Arabidopsis thaliana: one gene and its partner. The protein of the gene in region 2 interacts with the protein of the main gene of each other region in a pairwise test. Each region holds a gene or a part of one and is shown on either strand. Other genes may lie near its edges.

Region 1 (8,352 bases), on a different chromosome or scaffold from region 2:
CTCTCTCTTCCTTTATTCGTGCGGCACAAAGAGATAGAGAGAGAAGATGATGATGAAGGAATTGGAAAATTCCAGGTCGGGGCTTAGAGGAGAAGAGACAAGAGAGAAGAGGGCTTCGTGTGATGAAAACACAGCTCATATATACGAATATGATAGAGAGAGAGGCAGCAGAATTAATTCACCTCCCTTTTTTTTTTATCTTTTTTACCTTTTAATTACAATTTGATTTTCTGCATTTTTATTGATTTGAATACCATTATACATTATTACAATGTTTCAATATATTTTACCGCAATTACATTTTAAGACTATTGATTTTTTCTTTTGTTAGTGTTAACTTTAATACAGATTGGTATTTCCATATTGTTTCTCTTTGTTGTTACTCCATTAAATAGTAAAATGTTGTCAGGAGAATTTCATTTATCTCAACCATAAAAACGTTATGATCCAAAATTCAGCCATTGTTGTTTGTTTCTTCTTTTTCATGCTTTAGGAAAAAAAAATGTTACACTGAACAATTGTTATAATATTGTGCATTTAAATCTGGTATTGAGGTTTAGTTGAAATCTATTCAATTAGGCACAAACTCATGAAAACAGTTTGATTTTCATATATATACAATTATAAGTTTATATTATTTTGGTTGAATTGAACATTAAGAGACTGGTCTTTAATAAAAACTTAAAAGTTACTCTTTTGAAAGTACTGAAATTAGAAAGAAAGGAGATATATGTCGACCATGTTGAATATAGGAATCTGCATCCCTTTGTACAACTCCTTTCCTTTTTTATCAACTTCTTCACTACACTTTCAGTTTAACGTTTTCACCCCCATAGAAAATACTTTAGAGAAGTTTAGATGAAACTTATTTTTAGTGAGATGAGACTTTGACGAGTAAACCAAAGAAGGCAGAAAGAAAAGAAAAAAAGAGGAGGCTCGAGTAACTTGACGAGACGCTCATTTGGACCCAACCAATAATTTGATTGATTAGGTATTACGATTCTTTATTACTTCTATTTATTGATAATTTCATTTGTTATGATATTTATGTTCCAATTGGAACATTCTTTGTTTCATTAAAACTGATGTTTGAAAATTCCTCATATAAAATGACTTGAGAGTTTCAACATCACCCAAATATCCACATCCTCAGACAGACAGTTTGGAAATATGGATCCCAATACCATCGGTGGGTTTCGAAGTCTCTCGGTTTTATAACCCAACAAAGGAGGAGAAAGAACATCTATGCATAACAGAGTAATGCCGGCAAAAAGCCCACCATGATTTTTTGTTGGTTAATCTTTATCTAAGCCCATTAATGTTTTATTACGTACAACCCCTAGAAGATCTCTCTCATGATTTTAGAGGTAATAAACAATCAAATATACTCACAAAACTGAATTCTAAAAAGGGTAATCCTTTTACAGGTTAAAACAAATTCAGAATTAGAGCCTCAAATTGAACCCTTTGAATTGAGACTAATCTTTGTTTTCATTTTCAATAGATAGAAGCTAATCTTTGAAACTTTCATACTCATATCTTTATTCTAAGCTAAAACTACCGAAGATACTCCTTCCCTAGCGACCTGATTTTTGCTGGAGAGAAATAGCAGTCCAAGGAGTTAATCGCTGTGGACTTGGCCGCCCCACCACCGTAGGAGTAGTAGTAGTGGAAGGAGCAGCGGTCACAGTGGCGGCAGAGGAGGAGACACGTTCGCAAGAAGGGCACATGGTGAGAGTAGTAGGAGGAGTCATGTGCATGTAGAGATGTGGAGACAACTTCAACGCCCTCAGCTCCGACACTTCTTTCTGCAGCCGTCGATTCTCCTCGGTCAGATTATCGCAACATCTCTTTAAATACTCACAATCAACCTCCGTTTGTTTCAGCTTCGTCCTAATGTACGTACAAATAATAAATCAAAATCACCTTAATTAGTGAAGTGAACAGAAATAAAAGTTTAAAACTGATAAGAAACAAAAAAGGACAAAAGTAGATTTTATTTGTACGCATACGCATGCATGTGTCTTTAAGGCTGTAGTAAAAAGTAAGAAACTCCATGTGACAGTACAGAGGCAGAGATCTTATTAGGATTTTCTTTTAGGACAGGGAACTGAAATCGCTTTTGGGTCATAAAAGGACAATTATATCCCCATCATAGCAATTACTAAGGTTCTGTGAAACCAAATTTCCTATAATACCCCTAGAAAATAAAGATAATTTCTTTACCTTGCCCTACGGTTCTGAAACCACACTTCAACTTGTCTTGCCCTTAGATTCAACTGTTTTGCTAGAGCCAGCTTTTGCTTCTGCCCAATCCGATAATTAAAAAAAAAAAAAAAAAAACCAATTTTAGTCTTTTAGAGAGAAGCCAATTACAAACGTCCATGCAATAAGAAGTGACAAATAACGAAAATGTAATTAACTGAATTTATAAGTTAGATAAAAATTACACAAAATGCCACTAACCGGATTAAGAGTGCTATGTTCTTTAAAAGTCTCCTCGAGAACAAGAGCTTGATCCTTCGATAACCGTAGTTTCTTCCTTGATCCGTCGCCGTTTCCGCCGTCTTCATCGTCGCTACCACCGCTTCCCCCTCCGCGTGAGCAAGAAGCTCTCTCCGCCTCGTTTTCATCTCCTCCTCTCGCCACCGCAAGATCCCTTTTATTTCCACTCAGACTCGAAACGGCGCTGTTTGGAGACGAGACGACGGCGGCTTCTTCTTCCAAGTCCACTACCGCCACCGAAGACTGAGCTCTGTTCACGTTGAAACCTCTTAGAAATGACCCGGCGTCGGAGTTTCTCTCTGCAGTTGTACGTTTAATCCCTAGAGTACATCAAAACCCGAAAAACGTTTTTAGCTTCAGTTTCGTAAATTACTAAAACAGAAATATCTTTATTTAAAAAAGAATCGGATCTGAAACATAGATCCGAAGTTATGCACATAAAACAGAATTTCAACACATTTAATGCTTAAAAAAACATTATATTAAAACGAGAAATAGAAAAGTATTACCAGAAGATTGAAACAGATGAGTCCAAGAGATGTTATGAATCTTCTGGGGATGGCTATTGTTATTCTGATTGTGCATGTGTTGAAACGAAGAAGAAGAAGAAGAAGTTGTCAACGGCATAAGATTCAACCTCAGAGATGGTTCTTTTTGTTGACTATTTCCCAAGCTTAGACTCAAACCCAACCCATCATCTCTTTCCCCCATTGTCCTCAACAGAAAGAACTTTTCTTTTCTGGATTTTGAAAGACTTTCTCGAGAAAATCGATGTAGTGATAATGGGGTTAAAGACACGACTAATATATATATACACAGAAGTTGATATGTAGACAATTAATAGAGAGAAGGGGTTATGTGGGGTGCTTGGGGTTTCAATGATGACTTGTGTCAGAAAGACCCTTGTAATTTCAATGATGATATATACTGTTACCTGCTCCTCTCTCTTTAAAAAAAAAAAAAAAAAAAAGTCATTCAACTCCAATGCGTTTAATTTTTTCAATACGTTTGACAAATGAATTTTTGTTCATTTTCGTCCTAAAAGTCAATAACAAACGTTAACATTTTAATACCTAAAATCTCAGTTATTTTTTTGTCTTTGACAGTAATAAGTACTGTATTTGGTTATGGTACAACGTTTTAAAAATGATGCTTAACTAATCAATCATTTTTTATTCTCGAAAATTCATATTTCGAACTTGATTAGCTTATAAAACCCATTATTAAATTATTTTGGGAAGTAATGCACACGCTTTGTAGATCTACTAAACAATAATAGTAGTATAACAAAGATCTTTGTTTGAATACTCTTTTTATTTCTTAAAACCATGAGATGGTATTTTAACAAGAAAAGACAGATGTATATGGTAAAGTAGCGTCGCTCGTGTAGAACAAACGTGAGTAAGAACGCGTGGAACTGAATAGAATGGCGTTGGGCTCAAAATGGGTATGGTAGTCAGAAAACGATGTCGTCTTTGATAACACAGAGCCTAATACTGCATGGGGTTTTAAGACTCTAGAGTTACCCCGTGAACCCAACATGCATCTAATTAGTCTTCAATTAATTTATTATTCCCTTTTCCAAAAACTATCCTTCGAGTAATTCTTTTGGTCAACTAATAAAAGCAATATTCAAGTTTTTCCATTGAATTTTATGGCTAAATCAAATAGCAAACGGACATTTGGAAAACATTAGTGGATGGTAGAGTTTACGGCTACTTCCTGTCATTGAAACAATAATTTTTGGTTTATGTTTCCTTTCTATTGTTTTCAAAGTTGTTGATAATGCCATCATTATTACTACTTCAGTTTCTTTGAGAGTTACAGACAAGACAAGACAGGTCTCGTTTGTTAATTAATTTTAAAGTTAAATAACGCCCGACGCTTTTTCAAAACAAATTAATTACTTTCAAATTTATTCTTAATGACTATATATTGACTTCTTATGTATCTTCAATCAATGCGGTCTTTTCATTGACTCTTATAACTTGCTTTGACCTTTCTTATAAACTTTTCTTGGTAAATTACGTTTAGAAAATTGATTTTATTTTGGAGCCTAATTGGTTAGTTGACTTGATTGATAGTATAGTACTCTGAAAACAATAGTTATACAAACAAATTATTATATTCCTAAATTTTCTTGTAAGCTTTTTTGCTCAAAGCTACAAAGTATGTATTTATTGATAAATGAATAAGGGGTTTGAACTAAGTTAGCATGGGTTTATGATATATGAGCCGTATCATGCATATTAATGTAAAGTTTGTTGCAAGTTACAATTCATAACCCATGTTCATTAATTATATACAGTTGTTTCTAAGCTTATACTGTAATCTATTTTTCCCCAATTCTCCTGGCATTCTTGAATGTTTTAAGGAAAATCAGACAAGTGTTTTTTTTATTTGTCTTTTTGTCTAGAAAACGTATGTATGTATGATTCTGCTTTGTTACATGGCTATGCTATATTTTTGTATGAATGTTTCATGATAAAACTACATGAAGTGTAACTAATATGAAAAAGAAAATATATCGTTACTACATCTTCGTTCTCCGTGAAATTCGTACAAATTAATTCATTTGTTTTCACGATTGGTTGAAATATGTTTAAGAGCTGATGATGTATTGATGTTTCAGTACATTGCATATTTAAGAATGTGAAATTCTGGAATGAAGCGTGTGAATGGTGTGGGAGAGAGTGTAGAAGAAGTAAAGCAAGAGATTCAAAGGAAATAGAAGAAGTGGTGGTCACGTGGGAAATGGGAAGGGGTTCACGTGGGAAGTTGCCAACGTGGCAGAACATGGTCCCCAGTGACCACACTCGTGCGGCGTAATTTTTGTTCCTCCACGACCAGACATTCACTTCTCTTTAATCATTGGATACTTCTCTCCTCCTCCGACTCGATGGTTCCTAACAATTCCACGCGCTCACTCTCGCGTAATTTTTCCTGTAAAAATCGCTGTGATTTTTTTTTTTTTTTTTTTAAATCGTTGAGAGAATTTAAAGAAGAGAACGTTAGAAGATACTCGATAAGATCTTTAGCAAAACAAAAAACTCAATATATTAATACACGTAAATATGAGTTAAATTGTGGATATGAGTATATTTACAATATGGTTTGAGTTTTGTTATAACTGTATGGCGAGGGAATTAATTTAAAGATATCAGTTCGGTAAGAGACAGCTACGAACAGGATCCGGTGAAAACCGGCCAAAGCAACCAAAGCCCATGTTGTACCAACAACGAGAGTTTCTGAGGTAATCATGCATGAATATAAATCCTTATCATACTTACTTAATTCAAGAGTTCAATAATTTTGATACATCTACATTTTTAAAAAGAAGATACACAATTTGGTCCCACGTGTGTGTCCATAACCATGTGCATTTATAATTATACATATATTAATGTAAAGTATCAATTTATATTCTGTTATTAGCAAAAAAAATATATATAAATTTTGATCTTTGCTCAACATTTTTTTTTGACACGGTAACAACTAACAACTGAAATCTGTTGCTCATCGGCATATTTTTATTCGTATAAATCACTCACTATCAATGACGTCAAAAAGAAAAGAAAATCATTCAACCATAGTTCTACTGTTTAGTCCATCCATCAATGTTATTGCTTGCTGAGCCAATTTAATCATTACAAAATAATTATGATATTTTCACGTACCACATGATTGTATCGACGTATCTAACAATTTACTCGAAATCATTACACATGTCCACGTGGGAAGCCCGTCACTTATTTTGGTCCGTTCCAAGATTTGATTGATTCTTATAATTTATTATTTGCTATCCGTGCAATCTGTATTAATAATAACATATGCTACGTTTTGAACACTAAAACATAGGGATACGCTGGAAAGGTGTGTAAGATATTAGAATTTCAGAATAACAGCTGTTCACATGCATGCAGAAATTATATTTATAAACAGAGATCATAAAGGCATACATAATCTAAGTAGCATTTATAAGAACTAAGGTGATCGATCGAACACTGAATTGAATTATATCAGAATGAACTTGCCGCCTTATCGGTGCTTTTTTAAAAAGTCGACGAAATATCTAGTGAATTGATCCGATAGAAAAAAGATGTCTTTAGATCAAATCGTTCGACAAATTTTTTCTTTCAAATATATAAATCCTAGACAAAATATATCTCAAAACGTCTGGACTCTGGATAGTTCAACTAGCTAGTTACCAAATTAAAATCTTTTGAAATAAGACTTTACTATGGTATAAGTTTTAAATGGTGACGGTCACAAGATGAATCGTATATGAAACTATAACACAATTGAATGCTGTTTTGTTTTTTGTTATTGACAGTTTTCGGATTCGCAACTTGTAACCATCTGAACCCTAATATTAATCATAGTTAAGGACTGAAAACAACAGCATCGAGCGTATTTCCGTTGAACAATCTTTACGAAATCCAAAATAAATAAATAAAGTTAAAAAGCAGAAAGTTTCAAGATTCAAAAAAAAAGTTAGCGAGGAGACATAGCGAGTGAGAGCCACGTGACTAAGATGTGTAAAGAATGGAGTGAGGAGAAAAAAAAAACAGACAAAGGACTTAAAATTAAATTAGATACGCCAGCGTTTCACGTGGGAAGTCACGTGATTGAGTATCCACGTGTCAATCCCACAAGTGAAATAATAGACGGGTTCCCATTGTCCTACCTTCGCACCACCCCCGCGCGTGTCTCTTTGCCTCTCTCTCACCGGACACCAATCATTTGATGCGACACGAGCTTCTTCTACGTAATTACATTTATACCCCTTAGCCTCCTCTCATGATGTTATGATCACACAGCCTCGATCCAATGCGTTTTGGATTGTGTGTGGGTGTCCAGCTGTTATCCATGTGAATTGCACGTGATCTCGCTTTGTTTGAGAAATTAGATTTCATTGCACTAAAATTGGTAGAGAGACAATTAGAACTTGAGTGATGGATAATTCGTCTTTTCTTAAGACGATATCTATTTAACTATATTAGACTTATGAACAAAACTAAAAATTTCATTTGAAATGTACTATCGCTCAAGATCTCAAGGCCTTCATATTGTTCTTTTTTTTTTTAATCAAAATTTTAAGTAATATCAATTATAAGTGGTTTTTAGATTATAGATTTTTGGTTTTGGTCTTTGGATTTTACACAAAAGAAGAAATAAAATAAATGGAAAAATATATAAAATAAATAAATTCAAATGGTAATTCTAAAAACTAGTAAATATGGTTTTTGGATTTTGGGAAAGAATTGACAAAATCTCTTTAAATCTAGATTCTCTAATTTTTAGGAAATCATTTTTATTATAATCTTGAATGAGTAACAAATTGTTTTTTTCCAAAATCAAAAACTAAAAACCATTTCAGAATCTACAAACAATAAAAAAGTCTTAATATTTGCATATAAGTCAAACTGGTGGTATCTGGGTTAAACTTAACAAAATGTGTTGGGCCTAAATAAGCTCAATTAAAACGGGCCTTTTCTCAAGTACACCGGTCAAAATCAAATTTTATCCACAAGGAGTCGCTTTTGGCTTATCCACTGAAACAAAGAGACTCGTTGGATTCGTGAAGCCGAAAAAAAAAAAAAAATGGTAATTCTCAGCAACGTCTCGTTGTTCTCCTGCTGCAACATCTCTCAGAAACCATCTCTCTTTTCTCCGTCTTCTCGTAGTTCTCATTGTCCCATTCGTTGCTCACAGTCACAGGTAACCTCCAAAATTTTTTCTCCAACCTCCTCTGAACCGCTTTGAGAAAGAAGAAAAAAAACGGTTGTGATAAAGAAAGAGCCAAATTTGAATTTAGTAGTTGATTACACTTCTAGCTTTTGTTTA
Region 2 (8,352 bases):
AATACTGCAAGTAAACACATCCGGAGAAACCTCAAAGCTAATCATCTGATCATAAACATGTAAAGCCACAAAGTTTTCCCCTTTCCTGACCAAATTGCTCAACAAGCTATTACAAGACAACAAACTAGGAATTCTTCCATAGTTTCCCATGTTGTCAAACACATGTAAAGCATTCTTAACCAAACCCTTCTCTGCATAAACTTTCAGTATCATGTCAAAGACTGTAGGAGAGAAGGAAAATTCCTTGAAAACCCGAACGAGCTCTCCCCAGACAACGAAGCCCGAGTGATTAAGAGCAACCAGTTCACATAAATACGATTTTGTCTGTTGGTAATTTCTAGCCCTGGACAAGATGTGAACCATTTTACAGTAAGCCTTGTAATCAGGCCGGAACTTTTGTTGCTTTGAAGCCAAATTGAAAATCTCCAGACATGCCTCTGGGTTAAGCCTCAATCTACGCAGGATGGAGTTGAGAAGTTCATCTGAGAAATCGAGTGATAGATCATGTAAAGCTTCGTACCTGCCAAGTACGAGCAAACGTGAGACCCGCTCGAGTAATTCGGGTCGAATTCGCCCGTTTCCTCCTCGAAGCTCGCGGCGTAAGGTTCTCGAGGCTTCGGAGAAGCTACGAGTATAGAGAAACGGAAGCAACTGATAGGCAACAACGCGTGCCGGAGACCGTCGGAGCATCAGGAGAATTTTGTTGTCGGATGATTAACGCTGGAACCCATTAAACTTGGGACCTCAAAGTTCCGTACTTTGGAATGTGTCTAAGGTTTTAGTCGACGATTGACGACGACTACGTCGGCGACGAAGAGTGAGAGTGTGTAAAGAAGAAACCTTTAAATTGGAATTTGGTTCGGTTGGTTTGGTTTGGCTCGGTTTGGTTCGATTGAATTTGGAGAGCAATAACAAAGAAAACACTGAATCTGATTCTGATGGATTTTAACAGAGGAATACAAAGAATCATCGAATGAGACTACACATAAGAATATGGTCGAGAGTACATTTTCCACCAAAAGAATTAGAGCATATAATAATAATCTACCAAGGATCCTATAAATAAAGTAGAAGACCTTGTCCATTTGGGTTCTTAAACCGGGAATCTACCGGTCATCTGTATATGCTCAAGTGTTTTTCGCAAACCGTACTTGTGAACAGCTAACCTCCCAGCTCTGAACCCGTCTCCATAAACCGGAGAAGCATCAGACTCGATTTGGTGCTTGAAAAACTCACCAAGCTTTCTCTCGTACTGAGATCTCGGTCCCTTTTTCAGTCCTTGAGAAGAGGAGGATGATGATGCAGCATTGCTATTTGTTGAACCAGCAGCTAACTCAGCATCTAACCATTTATGAGCCATCACTTGACATATACCTTCTTCAACATCTTGGCTCAGTGTTCGGAATCCTTTTTAAGACCAAAACGAAACAAGGTTTCAACAATGTGATCAACAGAAAGAAGCAGTAATATAAGACGTTAAGAGGAGTAGTAAGAAATTCACCTTTGAGCCTCATCCACGCATGCATCATCTCATGAGCTAGAATCGAACCAGTAAGTAACCTGAACAAAATTCAGCAAAACCATCAATGCTTGAACTGTGACATAAGATCAATTCAATGGAAGCAAAAAGAGTCTTTTTTACCTAGGGAGCCCGAATAAGATGAGAATGGCGGTAACTTCACATTGCCGTGTTAACTTGTAAGGTTCTGTAATATTCCCGGCCCATTTTCCTGTGCCATGCTTTGATCGCTTTCTTACAGTACTAACAGTTTGTTCTTCTGAAAGGCAGAGTCCTCTTGTTTCTGGCATGTGATAGTGACCCTAAGAAGCAAAATGAAAAGGTTTAATACTTTAGAAACAGAATGTGATAATAATTTCAAGTATTAGCTTAGTACTGGATAATTGTCTTTTCTTTACTTACATTCTTTTCACCTTCTCTGGCTTCGTTAAGTGCTTGTCTCTCAACCAAGAGGAGTGGAACTTCCTGCTCTACCTTCATGTTGAGTCCTTCATAGAAATTTTGTATTTGCAAGTACAGAGGTTGGCATTGCATGGTGTCCATGACCGCCGAGTCCAAACACTCAAGGCAAAGTTTCCGTCCATCGTTAAGTTCAACATATCTCGTATTCCGTGGCTACAAAGTATAGCTAAGTTGTCAATTACCGGCTAAAAAATGTTTTCACTTTTGAGTAGATGATGTATGTTTGGGGACATATTAGAGGAGAAGAAAACCCACCTCCATTCTTTCACAACTGCAACATCTCGGGGTAGCATCGTGTTCGTGAGAAGGACAATACTTCTGAACCCAAAAAGGATGTGCCCTATATTCAATAAGACCAGCATGATTTGTTGGTATCTGTTCAAAGAATTTACATTCGGGAGAAAAACAAAGCAACAGACGATAAGTGTAAGATCCGGAACAAAACAACAACACATGAATATATTTATGGGCTAAAATGATAGAAAAGGAAAGAGGTTTACGTACAAAGTGGCTGCAGACATCACATTTAGGATGATATCTCTCCCTGTAACAAGCCTTGTGAAAAGGGTAGTTCCCTGATGTTGAAAACTATAGGAAAAAAGGGAAACACATTACAAAAGAAAATCTAAAGGTTAAGTAGAACCAGAAAGCAAATGAAGAGGATATGGAAGAGAGCTTGGTTTCACCTCGTACTCAGAAATCGGCTGACTGCAGCCATAACATCGAAAACATTCTGGATGCCATAGTGAATTAAGGCAATTCAGAAATCTTCCATGGCCAATCTCCATATTACAGCCAGCACAAATCCTATGCAGACAAGTTGTTGACAAGTTATTTGGCTGCTGGACACTAAACTAACACATCGACCAAATTAAGCCAGCTAAATATGATTGGCTATCTAAATACCTGAAATCCATTTGAAAAGTAATAGGTCTTGGATAATAAATATCTCCATTTGCATATACATTTCCTCCTCCATACATATGTCCATTCCCATATAAATCTCCAGCTCCATATGCATTCCCATTATCATATGTACTTCCACTTTTGTGACGGGGTGAATTCCCAACTACCATACTTTCTTGTAGGGCTCTAGCAAGTTGCTCATCTTCATCCACCGGCATCGAGTATTTCCCTGTGTCCATTACTTTTTTTAAAGGAATTGTAGCAAACCGAATCCGATAACAAAACCATGTCTTCATATATCTGTTTTGGCTAAAACAATCCTGAAAATGAACTCACCGCTTATACTTGTCTGTTCTTGATTCTCTTCTAAAAGCGACAATGCAATTGCACGGTCTATGTCTTCATTTTCCTGGTCATTCGATGTATTATCCTAGTAAAGAAAAACCACAAAAGTTGAAATAACAGTACAGACCAGAGCTATGATAAACCGTCAACTATATATGTGGTTCTTTTCACTACTTCATGATCCCCAAACTCACCTCAGATGTAGATGGTTCCTGAGTATGATGAGGTTCATCATTATCAGCATCTGTATCCGCCGCACTAGGCTCATCATCATGTGAAGCAGTCGGATAATTATCGTAATAAACATTGTGATTGTGCTTATTATTCCCAACCCGGAGCCTTTGGTTAGAGCCTTTAAAGATCTTGTTAAACCAACCCATAATGCCTAAATAAAACTATCTGCTCATACGGCAATGCAGCCTGCAAAATCGTCGAATCATCTCTGATTAGCAAAAACCCAAAACAAACTTGTTTCACTTCCAAACATCAAAAGCCACAGAACAATAGCACTTTGAATCTAACAACAATAACTAAACAACCCTAAAACCTGTCACCATTAAGCAAACGAGTTCCAAACGGATTTGTTTTTTGTTTTTTTTTTCAAAAAACCATGAAATTAGAATCCAGACATGGAATTATCAAGTAATTGCAGCTGCAAAGAAGCTAAAGATCGTCCCTTTACCTTGAGAAAATCCTGAATCAGATAAGATCCCAATAAGCTTCACGAAACCCCCACAAAATCCAGAATCACAAAAATGATCTAATCAAGCAAGGGAAGCAGCAAAAGAATCTCAAAAAGGACTCTTTAGTTCTCTCCTTTCTTCAAAATTTGGGGAAGAATCTATAACATGGGGGAAAAAAAAAAAAAAGAGAAAAGAAAAGAAAAAAGGAAATTAAACTTTTTTTATATAAAAGAATGCAACTTTGACAAAATCAATGTCTACTCATACACGAATAAACCCAGAATGTGCTTGAATTCTACGCTAATCCAAAGTCAAAAAATTTGGTGCACTCACAAAAAAAGAATAAAAATCGTATTTTTATTTAATGAGGATCACGAAGAAGAGATCGAGAGTATCGAATATTTTGGAACGAAAAAAACAAAAGAGGAGAAATGAATTAAAAAGTCTTCGTGTCCGAAGTTTTTTGGTCGTTGAGCTTGTTGAGCTCTTCTTCTTCTTCTTCCAGGAAAAAACGTTCCCCACGCTGTGATTTAGAGATAGAAAGAGAATTATAATTATACTATTACGCAATTTAAAAGTCAAATAATTATTTTGTTTTGGCAATTTCTTCCATTTTGCAACGTTTATGCAAATATCTAGATATTTAATATTTAATTATTGCTTCAAGCCTTAAACCAAATCTTCTACAAGTCGTAACGCATTTATCCGGATTGTCGGGTTCTAATTCTAATAAGATTTTATATATTTTTGCTAGAAAACATTAAATATATTTTTTTTATAATTTTCCACTAAATTGTAAAATTATTTATAAATATATATTTTCTTTATTACTAAATGATTTATTTCTAAAAGATTAATCTTTTAAATTTTTCATGCAATATTTATTGGATAATATTAGTGAATTGTAATTTTCTAAAAAAATAGTTAATTATCATTGATTTAGAATAATAGAAAATTGTAAAACACAAAAAATAATAAATTTATAATCAATATTTAATATATATATTTTTTTAATATGTGTGTTTTTCTAAACATCAAACAAAAACGCATAAATACAAGAAAAAATGTATAAATACTAATTAACTGTTTAAACCGTTGTTGTTTCAATTAATTGTCAAGTTATCGAATTTTAGTTGATAGATTTTTTAACCAATACGATAATTAGAATTTGATTTGAACCAAAATCTAGGCTCCCATAACTCACTCACATTTTATTGATATGAAAATAATATTATTTAACTTTTGGCTTTTCAGCGTGATTTGTAATTTTACCAATTGCCAAATAATTCAGCAGAAAGCTAAGAAATGAGAAGAAAAAAAATTGAAAAAGAGAAGTACATATAATGAATTAATGATGTTATTACTTATTCCATATCGAAAAGGTGACAACAAAGGAAAAAAAGTTGAAGAAAAGATTAGGAAAAAGTTGGTGAGGCGTGGTTTTGTTAAAATATTACAAGCAAACACAATTTATTAATTTTATATCATAACTTTAAATTAGAAAGTAAAGTATAGAGGTGAAAAAAGATATGGAAAGGAAATTTGTTGATTTATGCAAAAAGTAAAAGTTCAATCATGTTTACCTTATTGACATATTATAATTTAGCATACACGTACGATATACATTACATGAATTCATAAATTATAAACTACATGTATGAGTGTCAATGTCACAATGTGATATCGTTCATCATCACTTTACAATATTATTAAACGAATAATTTGGTAATTAAGTATGTGAATTTCTTCTTTATACACTCGCGGAAGTTACGGTGACCACGGAAAGTGATAGCTTTTATGGGCTTTCACAGGCCCGTTATTATTTTGAATGTAAAAAAATCGTATCTCGTTTATAGGCTTTATAAGCTCATATATGTAACAAATTTTTACTTCATTATGTTTCTAACCAGTAACCACGACCTTTATATAAACCCGCATACATTACTTAACCACTAGCCGTCTATTGGATCCGACGATTTAGCTATTACTACTATTACATTCTTGAGATAGCTGAGTTTGGGTTTGTCATGAACAAGTTGTTCTTTATGTATGATACAACTTGTATATTACTTCATACCTCATTTTGGTTTGTAATACTGAAATCATTTGAGCCTCGTTCTTTTTTTTACGAAAGCTCTACCAAACCATTCAACTAGTTAGCTTATATTAATTTTCATGTCTTCTGCTTATTTTTAACGTTCAATGAAGTTGCAAATTACCTTATCTCACAAGTTCACACAACACTCATTTTATTTTTTACATACTCCAAGAGAAAGTTAATGGGCCTCGATTTTTTCTATAGGCCCATTATTATTTGAACCATTATGCTCCTATCGATATAAAAGTGTACTTTTGGTAATATTTTTGCTTAATCGTTTGATCATTTTGGTCGTAGAGTCTTTTATAGATATGTGACCCGTAAACTATGTTTAGCTTTCTTCTTCTTCTTCACATTTTGGGAAATTTTAATTCATTTTAGGTAGTCTGTCAATTTTTTACAGGTGATATAACTCTATCTGTGTTTTATTATTTAACGATTCAGTTACTGATCAAATTTCTATTCACTCTGGGGAATTTGATGTCCCTTGAGAATATGCTAAATGCTCTGCATGCTATTAACTTTATACTCACATACAGCTTTGATCCAAAGTGCCTACCCAACACACAGGGACGGAGCCAATGAAGAATTATAGGGGTCAAATGACCTCAGTGAACTTTTGGAAAATAATAGAATTTTTATTAAAAAATATTTATTGACCCCAGTCAAACAAAAATATTGACCCCTATGAATGATTTATTAAGGTACAAGTAAAACAAAGCTCAATAAAATTTTATGAATTATAAATACAAAAACCCAATAATTTTATTAAAATTATACTAATGTTAGGTCCAATAAAAATCTGTCAAATTAAGAAAGTAAAAAACCTAAATAATTGAACATGTGTCGTGGTAGCCAAAAACAATTTAGCTTCTTCCTCTTTTGTTTTTTATACAATCATCACATCCTTGAAAATCAGATTAAGGCTCGAGACTATAGATTTCAAGGTAAACTCTTTTATATATATATATATATATATATATATATATTTTATATAAAGTTTAATTAACTATCAACCAATTTCAATTTGATCACTTAAGCAAAATTCGTTTGTGATTAATTTAGTTTTTGGTGTTGTTATTCTGTCAAAAATTAAAAACTCAATTCGTCATTATTCATGAGTTTTCTTTGTAACGTTAGTCGTCAATATACTGTTTTCTTCTTAATTTTTGATGTAGTTTGTTTTAGTTTCTAATTTAATCTCACAGTAATTTTTACTAATGACAAAAATTAAAGTTGTCATGAATCATGATAAGGCCACGGAGAAAACAATTTTTATGTTTGATTTAAGTTTCAACTCATGATTTTTATATTGATTCTTATTTTTTGTATGTAGGCAAGGCAACAACAAAAATAATGTATCGGTTTCTGAAAAGAAAATCTCCGCCACCACCTGATATTAATTTAAATGAATTGCCAAGTGATCCCGCAAAGAGAAAAAGCATTCTAAGTTATCATCCTAATCAAAGAGATGAGGTACGACGTGAATATTTGATTAGGGGACCTTGTCAACCTCGTGGTCATAAGTTTAAACAAATAGCAATTGGAAAGGTGTTACGCCGTTTTAATCCAAAATGGTTTGATTTGTATGGTGATTGGTTGGAGTATAGTGTGGAGAAAGAAAAAGCTTTTTGCTTGTATTGTTACTTATTCAGAGATCAAACTGGAAATCAAGGAGGGAGTGATAGCTTTCTATCAACTGGTTTTTGTAGTTGGAATAAGGCTGATAGGTTGGACCAACATGTGGGATTGGATGTGAATAGTTTTCACAATAATGCAAAAAGAAAATGTGAGGATTTGATGAGACAAGGTCAGTCCATCAAGCATGCTCTCCATAAGCAAACCGATGTTGTGAAGAATGATTATCGAATCTGGTTGAATGCTTCCATTGATGTTTCTCGACACTTGTTACATCAAGGATTACCATTTCGTGGTCATGATGAATCAGAAGAGTCAACAAATAAGGGTAATTTTGTAGAGCTTTTGAAGTATACAGCTGGTCAGAATGAAGTTGTAAAGAAAGTTGTGTTGAAAAATGCTCCTAAAAATAACCAGATGACATCTCCACCAATTCAAAAAGATATTGTCCATTGCTTTTCAAAAGAGGTAACTAGATCTATTATTGAAGAAATGGATAATGATGTCTTTGGCTTGCTTGTAGATGAATCGGCTGATGCTTCAGATAAAGAGCAAATGGCAGTAGTTTTTCGCTTCGTTGATAAGTATGGGGTAGTTAAAGAAAGATTTATTGGTGTTATTCATGTGCAAGAGACATCTTCTTTATCTCTAAAAAGTGCTATTGATTCTTTGTTTGCTAAATATGGATTGAGTTTGAAAAA

The links. The genes of interacting proteins can lie anywhere in the genome.
Region 1: the proteins of DA1 (region 2) and HB4 interact in a two-hybrid assay, tested with the Arabidopsis thaliana proteins (one large-scale study listed by BioGRID).

The regions. Positions count from the first base shown.
Region 1 is NC_003071.7:18,516,310-18,524,661, forward strand, and holds HB4 (homeobox-leucine zipper protein 4), read right to left. Parts: upstream 3,423-8,352; 5' UTR 3,217-3,422; coding exon 3,015-3,216; intron 2,826-3,014; coding exon 2,467-2,825; intron 2,307-2,466; coding exon 2,227-2,306; intron 1,894-2,226; coding exon 1,578-1,893; 3' UTR 1,347-1,577; downstream 1-1,346. Other genes in the region: AT2G44920 (Tetratricopeptide repeat (TPR)-like superfamily protein), read left to right, coding at 8,110-8,226. UniProt on the Arabidopsis thaliana protein: Probable transcription factor.
Region 2 is NC_003070.9:6,658,587-6,666,938, reverse strand, and holds DA1 (DA1), read right to left. Parts: upstream 4,523-8,352; 5' UTR 3,915-4,522; intron 3,653-3,914; 5' UTR 3,613-3,652; coding exon 3,427-3,612; intron 3,318-3,426; coding exon 3,224-3,317; intron 3,117-3,223; coding exon 2,888-3,116; intron 2,789-2,887; coding exon 2,668-2,788; intron 2,570-2,667; coding exon 2,486-2,569; intron 2,357-2,485; coding exon 2,237-2,356; intron 2,135-2,236; coding exon 1,922-2,134; intron 1,822-1,921; coding exon 1,643-1,821; intron 1,561-1,642; coding exon 1,502-1,560; intron 1,408-1,501; coding exon 1,094-1,407; 3' UTR 907-1,093; downstream 1-906. Other genes in the region: AT1G19290 (Pentatricopeptide repeat (PPR) superfamily protein), read right to left, coding at 1-690; AT1G19260 (TTF-type zinc finger protein with HAT dimerization domain-containing protein), read left to right, coding at 7,370-8,352. UniProt on the Arabidopsis thaliana protein: Ubiquitin receptor that limits final seed and organ size by restricting the period of cell proliferation. May act maternally to control seed mass. Acts synergistically with DA2 to regulate seed size.